2 linked regions of the Oryctolagus cuniculus genome follow. The protein of the gene in region 2 purifies or fractionates together with the protein of the main gene of each other region. This does not show direct contact. Links are inferred from orthologs where the notes say so. Each region holds a gene or a part of one and is shown on either strand. Other genes may lie near its edges.

Region 1 (3,905 bases), on a different chromosome or scaffold from region 2:
GTTGGCCCCCGTTGCCACGGGGGAGCTGGTGGCCTGGACAAAGAGGAAGTCGTTATCCAGCAGGGGCCAAGCTCCTTGGACACGGCACGTGTGAAAGTGGTGGTGGAAGCTGCGCACGTGGGGGTCCCCGAAGGAGGCGCAGTGCAAGAAGCCCGGGGGACGACCGTGCAGCCGCGAAAACTGGCCTTCGTAGTCGCAGGGGTCTGGGGTTGGGGGGCCAGGACCTGCTCCTGGAAGGGCAGGGCCGCGGGGCGGGGGAGGAGCCGTAGGGCCCTGGCGGGAGCAGTTATGCTGAATCATGAGATCCTCGATGCCGTGCACGGCGGAGTGGAAGGCAAGATCTCCGCGGCAGGTGCGGGCCGTGCGCCGAGTGCAGAGCGCGTAGGAGCGCAGCGCCCGACAGAGGCCGCCGGAGCCGGCTCCTCCTGCTCGGCCGCCGCTGCCGCCGCCCCCTCGAAGCCCTCCTGGCGAACCCCCACTTCTAAGGCTCAGGGTGGACGATACATACTCAGCATTGCAGCGGAGGATCTTGCATTGCGAATGAGCTGAGGACGGAAGGGAGCAGATTGTGAGGCGGTTCCCACATCCCTGCTCGAAGAGTCTCCTCCTAACTTCCAAATCTCATCAGGAGATTCCAGTCGTTCCTAAAACCTAGCCAAGCCCCTGCTCTCCCCCTCCGCCCCCTGGTCCTGTCCTCCCTCAGTCTTATTAAAGTGTGTGAGCCCACATGGTCTCCTCTGTCCACCAAGCTCTTCCCAGGGCCCTTCCCCAAGTCCAGTGGGACATGAAATGTCCCTGAGAGTAGGGCGGGTGCCTGGTACTGCCCGCAGCCGTTCTGCCTCAGGCACACAGGCTCACAGGCCCACCCCTGGGGTCTCCCAAGCCCTTCCCTGGCCGTTCCTTACCATGTCCACAGAGGAGCAGCAGAAGAGTGAGAGTGCTTAGAGTTGGGGGACTGCCGTGGTGGGGCCGGGGACTACGGAACTGGCCTGGATCCCCCATACCTATACAGCCAGGTGCCCCCAGCCCCGATTCTTCCCAGCTGATGGCCCTCCTACCTAGTGAATTTTGACCGGCTGTCCTGTAAGTGACTGAAAAAAAGAGAAATTTGGCTGGGCATGGAGAAAGAGAAGAGTTGAGGATTGGTCAGGATGCTGTGAAGAGAATCTGGGGAGATCAAGGAAAGGATGAGCAGTCGGGTTTTGGAGAGAATGGGGCTCCCCAAACTATAAGTGTGGCAGATGAGCTCTGCTCCTATGGTCACTTCCAGGTCCCTTGTGCAATACCCCCAGGTGGGGGTGGAGGGAAGGTTGAGTGACCTCAAGGGGGCAGAGTCCACATATTGCCCCATCTAGCACTACCAAACAGCAGCTCTGTCAAAAATGGAGGACTTGTGGAGGCAGATCAGTTCTCAGCTCCCCCGGGGTGGGGCTGGGGGTGGAGGGGTGTTCCCCTGCAGATTTCGGTTCTAGAAATCCTGTAGCAACACGCCCCTGAAGCGTCTCTCCCCACTAGAAGGGGCCGCCCTCCGGGAGTCGTCCATTTCTTTTCCCCTTTGGTGTCAGAAAGACAAGAAGGAGCACAGGGAGGATACCCTTGCCTTCTAGAACCTCTGTATTCCAATGAGAACAGAATCAATCTCTCATCCACTCAGGGGAGCTGCAGTCCTAATCCCCCTGTCTTAGAATAACAGGATGCAAAACCAGGCATGCCAATCAATGTTTGCTTTTTCTGAGTCAACAGTTGCTATTTTCCCAAACCTAACTGAAGAACCACTCTTTTCACTAATCTCCCCTTTGCAAATTTGAAGTTCTCAGTCTTTTGCTGAGGACAGGGGTTAGGGAAGGGCCAGCTCTCTCGTACCAAACTTCTCTCTTTTGGACTAATGAAACGATTTGGGAAAAGAGTAGGTTGGAGGGAGCAGAGTTGTGGGCAGACGTCATATATAAGACAAGGGATAGCTTCCACCCTTGGAAGTCCAATGTGAAGGGCATTGCTAAGTAGGGACAGGGTGCAGGCATGTCAGTGACTAATCATCTAGGTCAAATTTGGCCACAATGAGAAAACTACAGAATAGGGGGGTGGGCAACTCCTCCAAAGACTGCATTACAAGTCCTGGGGTAACAAGGCAAAGACTGCCAGACACAGACAGAGGATTAAACTTCAAATGGCCAGAGGTTAGATGCTAGAAAGAAGTGAGACTGAAAGAAATGGAGATTGGAGCACCTTGGTATAGAGAGATCCTAGCTTTTGGACCAGAGACATCCAAGGCAGTGTCTGTAATTTCATAAAAGTCTAACTTCAATCCAAGAGCTTATGAAAGGAATTGCAATTGCGTTTTAACTTACTGTTTCCAGAGGTCAAACATTACTCTGATATCCAATTCTCCAGCCATGGCTGCCTACTCTGTCAGTCTGCTCCAGCCAGGGGGTCCCCCGTCTCTTTCTCCATGTCTCCCCCAGCTCCCCAGGTCGGCTGCAATCTCCCTGAGGTCAGGAAGCCAGGGAAGGCTTGGTGTGGGGAAAAGGGGAGTATGTGGCTGGCGGGAGCATTGGACAGCTGAGCGGGGGAGGGAGGTGGCTACTGAGTTGACTGTTTTAAAAATAGCTAAGTCCAAAATTCCAGGAACATTGGTGGGGGTAGGGTGTGGGAGTGGGGAGGGTAGAAAGATTAGAGAGAATATGAAGTATTGGGTGCCAAGTGGGGAGAGTGGGAGAAATATGACAGCAAAGTCACATATCCAGTGCTTCTCAGGTCACTCTATGGTCGCTGTCTACTCCAGGCAGCCCTTTGGCGTTCTCAGCAATGAGCTCTTGACCTTTAAGTATTGTGGTGTGCAATCGGATACCTCTCACTTACTTCCCTCATCCGTGCTCTTTTGAACATTACATGTAGTTTCCACATAGAGTATCTGGAAGGTCTCTGACTAAGGAAGAGCCATAGCGGAGGTGGGTCACAGCCCCGCCCCCACCTTTGCGGAGTGTTCCAGGAGGACTGGCAAAGCCAGCTGTCCAGAGAAGAAATCTGAGCTTTGAGTTGTTTTGGGTGAGGGTTTGTTCAGTCTCCTCAGCTTGGATCCTTGCAGCTGTCTGTCCCTACCTCCTCTGTTTTCCATACCTTCGTTTGCACAGAAGTTCCTCCTCCCTCTCCCTCATGGGCACACAGCAATGCAAGCTCCTGAGTTGCTGGGAGAGAAGCTAACAAAGGCAAAGAGGAAGAGAAGGAATGGAGGTCATAGGAGAGGAGCAATTAGATAAACTGAGAGAAAAGGAGATCCTGAAATGTGCTTTCGTGGAGCAACATAATCTTGTGAGCCTCTAAGACTCGCGAGCATGGAATTTAACCATGTCATGTTTTGACAGCCATAGGAATATCTGGGATCACCATCTTAAAAAAAAAGTGTAAATGCCTTTGTATTTATCTGTGAGGCAGAGATATGGAGAGTTGTCATCCACTAGTTCACTCTCCTACTGTCTCAACAACGCTGACTGGGGCCAAGGCTTGAGGCAGGGAACCCAATCCAGGTCTCCCATGTGGGCGGCAGTAACTGAGTCACCTGAGCCATCGCCTGCTGCTTCCAGGAGCAGAGCTGAGTGCCAAACCCAGGCACTCTGGTATGGAATGCGGGCATTTTAACCACTAGACCAGACTCCCAACCATTCATCCTCTTAACATCTGCCAAAGGAAATTAGCACAAGGACTGATTCCAAATAGTATCACTACGGCATCTATACCCATGTTCTTTTTTTTTTTTTTTAAAGATTGATTTATTTATTTGAAAAGCAGAGTTACAAAGAGAGGCAGAGTGAGCGAGCGAGCGAGAGAGAAAGATCTTCCATCCGCTGGTTCATTCCCCAGAGGGTCACAATAGCCCGAGCTGCACTGATCTGCAGCCAGGAGCCAGG
Region 2 (3,805 bases):
TGTGGCTTCATTCCCCGCAGGGCGGGGTGGGGCGTCCACCAGCTTTGTAGGCAGCCTCTCCCCAGCATTCTTCTCTCCCCCGACACTAGGAAGTCAGATGGACGTGATCAGTGGGTAGGGAGATGGACAGGGGATGCCCGCGTGGATGGATGGGCAGATGGAGGGTGGATGGATGGGTAGATGGATAGACAGATAGGCACACAGACAGAAGAATTTCTTGTTTCTTTATCGTTCCCCCCGGTCCCCTCATTAGTGAGTTAATCCTACTCACTGTCCCTGTCTGAGTCACGATTTGACTTCTTGTTCGTTGTACTCTGACCTCACTGCCTGCACTCCCCCAGGAAGCAAGCATGCGACAGCAGCGCCAGGAAGAGGGAGGTCAGAGAAGGCAGAAGCAGGGTGCAGGCGCCCCCCTGGGATGGGCTGGAGGTGCTCACCTGTGCCACAGCCCCCCACAGAACTCCCAAGCGCGGGGAGGAATCTGAGGGTTTGGGGGCTTGTGCTTAGGGCTGTCAGGTACAGCAGCCCAGGTGGTGCACTGCACAACTCCTCGGGCCGCATGGACTGCGACGTGGACAGCAGGGTGGCCCTGCCGGTGTTTCGCAGGAAGACACTGAGGTCTCTCGGACGAGAGCAAAGTGACCATAGCAACACGGCATTGGGCGGGAAGTGAGCAACCTTGCAGGTGACCCAAGTGCACCTCTGAAAGACCAAGTCTGAAACCCAGAGTGGCTGACGGGCTGCCCGTTGGGGAGACTATCGGTGGCCTGCAGGCAAGTTGGATTCGACGGTGGAAAAGCAGATTTAGGTTCACCTGTGATGGAACCTGCTACCTGCGCTCACACAGGCAAGACTCACACACACACATGTGCACACATGTGTCCACACGAGAGCACATGAACACACATGCGCATCCACACACGGGCGCCACACCCCCTCCGCTCGCTCAGCCCCTGCTTCCTCCCCTGGGTGACCCCAGGCCGGGCTCCTGCCCCAGCTCAGGGAGCCCCCTGGCCTCCCAACCCTCAACCAAGCCAGGAAAGACGCCAAAGCCAAAGGCAAGCGGGCGGGAAGCCGAGGCGCGTACCCAGCGTGGAATTCAGCGCTACTACGTCTTTCACACTGGCCTCTGTCAAAAGGAAACGGACAAAGAAATCAACAAGGGCAAAATAAATGCACAAAGAACAGGCCACACACACGAACGAAAACGGAGGAGACCGCCAGAGCTGCCGGGCCTGGGCACGCGCCCCGCGCCCCACCCCTCCCTCCCGCCCCCGCGGGGAGCGGGCCCCTGCCCCGGTACTGACCCAGGATCACCAGCCCCTCGGGGTCCACCTCGTACTCCGCCCTGTAGGGAGCGGGCGCCGAGTCATTGGCCGCCGACAGCAGCTCCTCCACCAGCAGCGCCCGCACCACCTCGGGGCTCAGCGTGGGCCGGCGGCGCTCCGGGATTTGCAGAATGAACCAGAAGAAGCAGGTGAGGGGTCCCTCCCTAAGGCAGGCGGCAGTGAGGGGCCCGCGGGCGCTGATCTCCCTCGCGGGAAAGCCTCCCCCCAGCAGCCTCCGCGGGAGCTGCTCTCGCCACCCCCATTTTACAGGGGGAAGTTGAGGCACGGCTGTGAGGCTAACCTAGGCGGCAAAACGCTGGGCCCCATGCTCTCAATGCCCCCCTCCCAGTGCATGCCGGGCCCCTAACCAGCCCGCTGTGGTCGTCACCCAGGGTAAACCCTGCCACAGTGCTGTGCCCATTACACAGATGAGAAGACCAAGCCCGATGGAGGGAGGTCACCGGCTGCAGCCAGGTCTCTTGCCCGCGCCCTTGGAAAATGAGACAGGTCCCCTCCCAGGGCTGATCTGAGGTCCTGGCAGGGGCCAGCTGTTGCCTGGGGACAACGTACCCAAAGGAGTAGACAGAGCTGGAGTTGTAGTAGGCGCCCAGCCGCGTGCTGGTGATGAGTGCCTTGAGCTGCCAGAGGAAGACCAGAGCCCCGTGACCCTCTGTGGCGGCACCAGCCCCCCCCACCTTGGGGTGCACCCTGGGGAGCCCCAGGGGAAAGGCCAGCCAGGTCACCAGTGGTCAGAGCCCGAACCAGGGGCACCTTCCCCTCCCCCACCTCCATCCTCACCCCCGAAGGCCGACGGCCTCTCTCCCCCTATCAGAAGCCCTTCTTCCACTCTGAGCAGCCCCCCGGGCCACAGGGCCCCCCTGCACCCACCCCTGACCGCCCCAGGCACGGCCGGGCCACGGTGATAGGGAGCCCGGCTCGGGGGAGGCTTTGCCCCTGTACAGCTACGAGGCGGCACATCCGGGAGCCTCCTGGAACTGCCTGGAAACCCTGGCCACCGTGTCTGCTTCCAAGCCTGCAGCCAGGACACGGTGCACAGCACCCTCAGAGCGGGGTACTGACCCACCCTGCGCAGCTCTCCAGGCCGCCTTGCTGGACGGGGCCCTGGCACAGGCGGTGGCTGTGTCACGAGGCACGCGGGGCCCCCAGCAGAGCCAAGCTCCGCCCTCGGGAGTGACACCGGCAGAGTCTAATGCAAGTGCCTTGGACGCAGGTCCACTCGCTTTCCCGTCCCTGTGCCATGTGGCCCCAGTGAGTGCCCCGCCTCCCCCAGGGGGCCCCACTGACCACGCCCAGCCCTGCGCGCGCCCCTTCCCTACCATGTTCTGGGCCTTGGTGGTTTCGCTGCGGAAGGCGCTGGACTCCCTGCGGGCGAGGTCCTGGGAGAAGTGGCGGTTGAGCACCCGCAGGCTGCCCACGTACACCTGGCTGACGGTCACCTCCGCCCTGTACCCTGGAGGAGGGGCCACCGGGTTGAGTGCGGGCTCAGTGGGCGGGGCTCAGTGGGCAAGGCTCCTGGACTCCCACGCCGTCTGCTGCCACCCAGCCTGCCGCCCAGCCTGCCGCCCAGACACCATCGCCATCCCCATGAGCGCCCTCCTCCTCCTCACCCCTGTCGTCATCACCGTCATCATCCAGACTGGCACCAAGGCCACGGAGGACGTCAAGGCCAGGAAGCCTCAGGCATCCAGGAGGCCCAGGCCCCATTCAGCCCCTCTCTCCGACCTCCCTCCCTCCTTCCACAAGCGGGCGCTAACCCACCTGCTACGCAGGCCACCCTGGTCAGCTATGACAGCCACGCCTCCCCTGGTGGAGCCGAGAGTGCTGGGTAAGCAGGTGTCGCGCCAGCAGCCCCACAGCACGTGGGCTGCGTCTGGGACGGCTGCCCCCCGAGGAGCAGCGCAGGGGCCATGGCACCGGAACAGGCTGACCCCACAGTGCCCCTCCCGCTGAGATGTGAGGACTGCGAAGGTGTGAGAGCCTGGGAGTGTGGGGACTGACGTCAAGCACTTGGGAATACATCACTAGAGCGGTGAACAAGTTTGTAGTCTAACAGGCAGGAACCACTGCCTCTCCCAGCTACAAGGCGCGTGCTGTGGAGGGGAGGGTAGCACGGCAGAGGCCTGGAGTGAAGATGACGCTGTCGGGAGGTGTGCCTGTGGGAGGGCCAGACCGAGGGAGTGGCAAGTGCAAAGGCCCTGGGGCAGGAGTTTGCCTGGTGAGTTTGTGAGCAAAAGGGAGAACAGGAGGAGAGGAGGCGTGGGGAAGGCGGAGGCCATGCAGGGCTTTCGAGCTCTGAGAGGACTTGGGTTTGACTTTGAGTAAGAAAGGAGCTGTGGGAGAGTTGAGAAATCAGAGAACCGATTTGCTTTATAAAATGGCCCGTGACTCTCGTGTCGAGAAAGGGAGCCCTCCAGGCGAGGGCGTGGAGCCGCGGGGAGGGCGAGAATCGATGCATT

What was found.
Region 1: the proteins of TMPRSS6 (region 2) and HJV purify together in Homo sapiens (co-immunoprecipitation; 3 studies listed by IntAct). This does not show direct contact. The link is inferred for Oryctolagus cuniculus from reciprocal best matches to the Homo sapiens genes TMPRSS6 and HJV.

Annotation. Positions count from the first base shown.
Region 1 is NC_091438.1:48,868,849-48,872,753, reverse strand, and holds the start of HJV (hemojuvelin), read right to left. Parts: upstream 2,595-3,905; 5' UTR 2,349-2,594; intron 1,092-2,348; 5' UTR 1,003-1,091; coding exon 906-1,002; intron 546-905; coding exon 1-545. UniProt on the Homo sapiens protein: Acts as a bone morphogenetic protein (BMP) coreceptor. Through enhancement of BMP signaling regulates hepcidin (HAMP) expression and regulates iron homeostasis.
Region 2 is NC_091442.1:114,169,119-114,172,923, forward strand, and holds part of TMPRSS6 (transmembrane protease serine 6), read right to left. Parts: intron 2,800-3,805; coding exon 2,666-2,799; intron 1,967-2,665; coding exon 1,899-1,966; intron 1,493-1,898; coding exon 1,308-1,492; intron 1,130-1,307; coding exon 1,088-1,129; intron 1-1,087. UniProt on the Homo sapiens protein: Membrane-bound serine protease. Through the cleavage of cell surface hemojuvelin (HJV), a regulator of the expression of the iron absorption-regulating hormone hepicidin/HAMP, plays a role in iron homeostasis.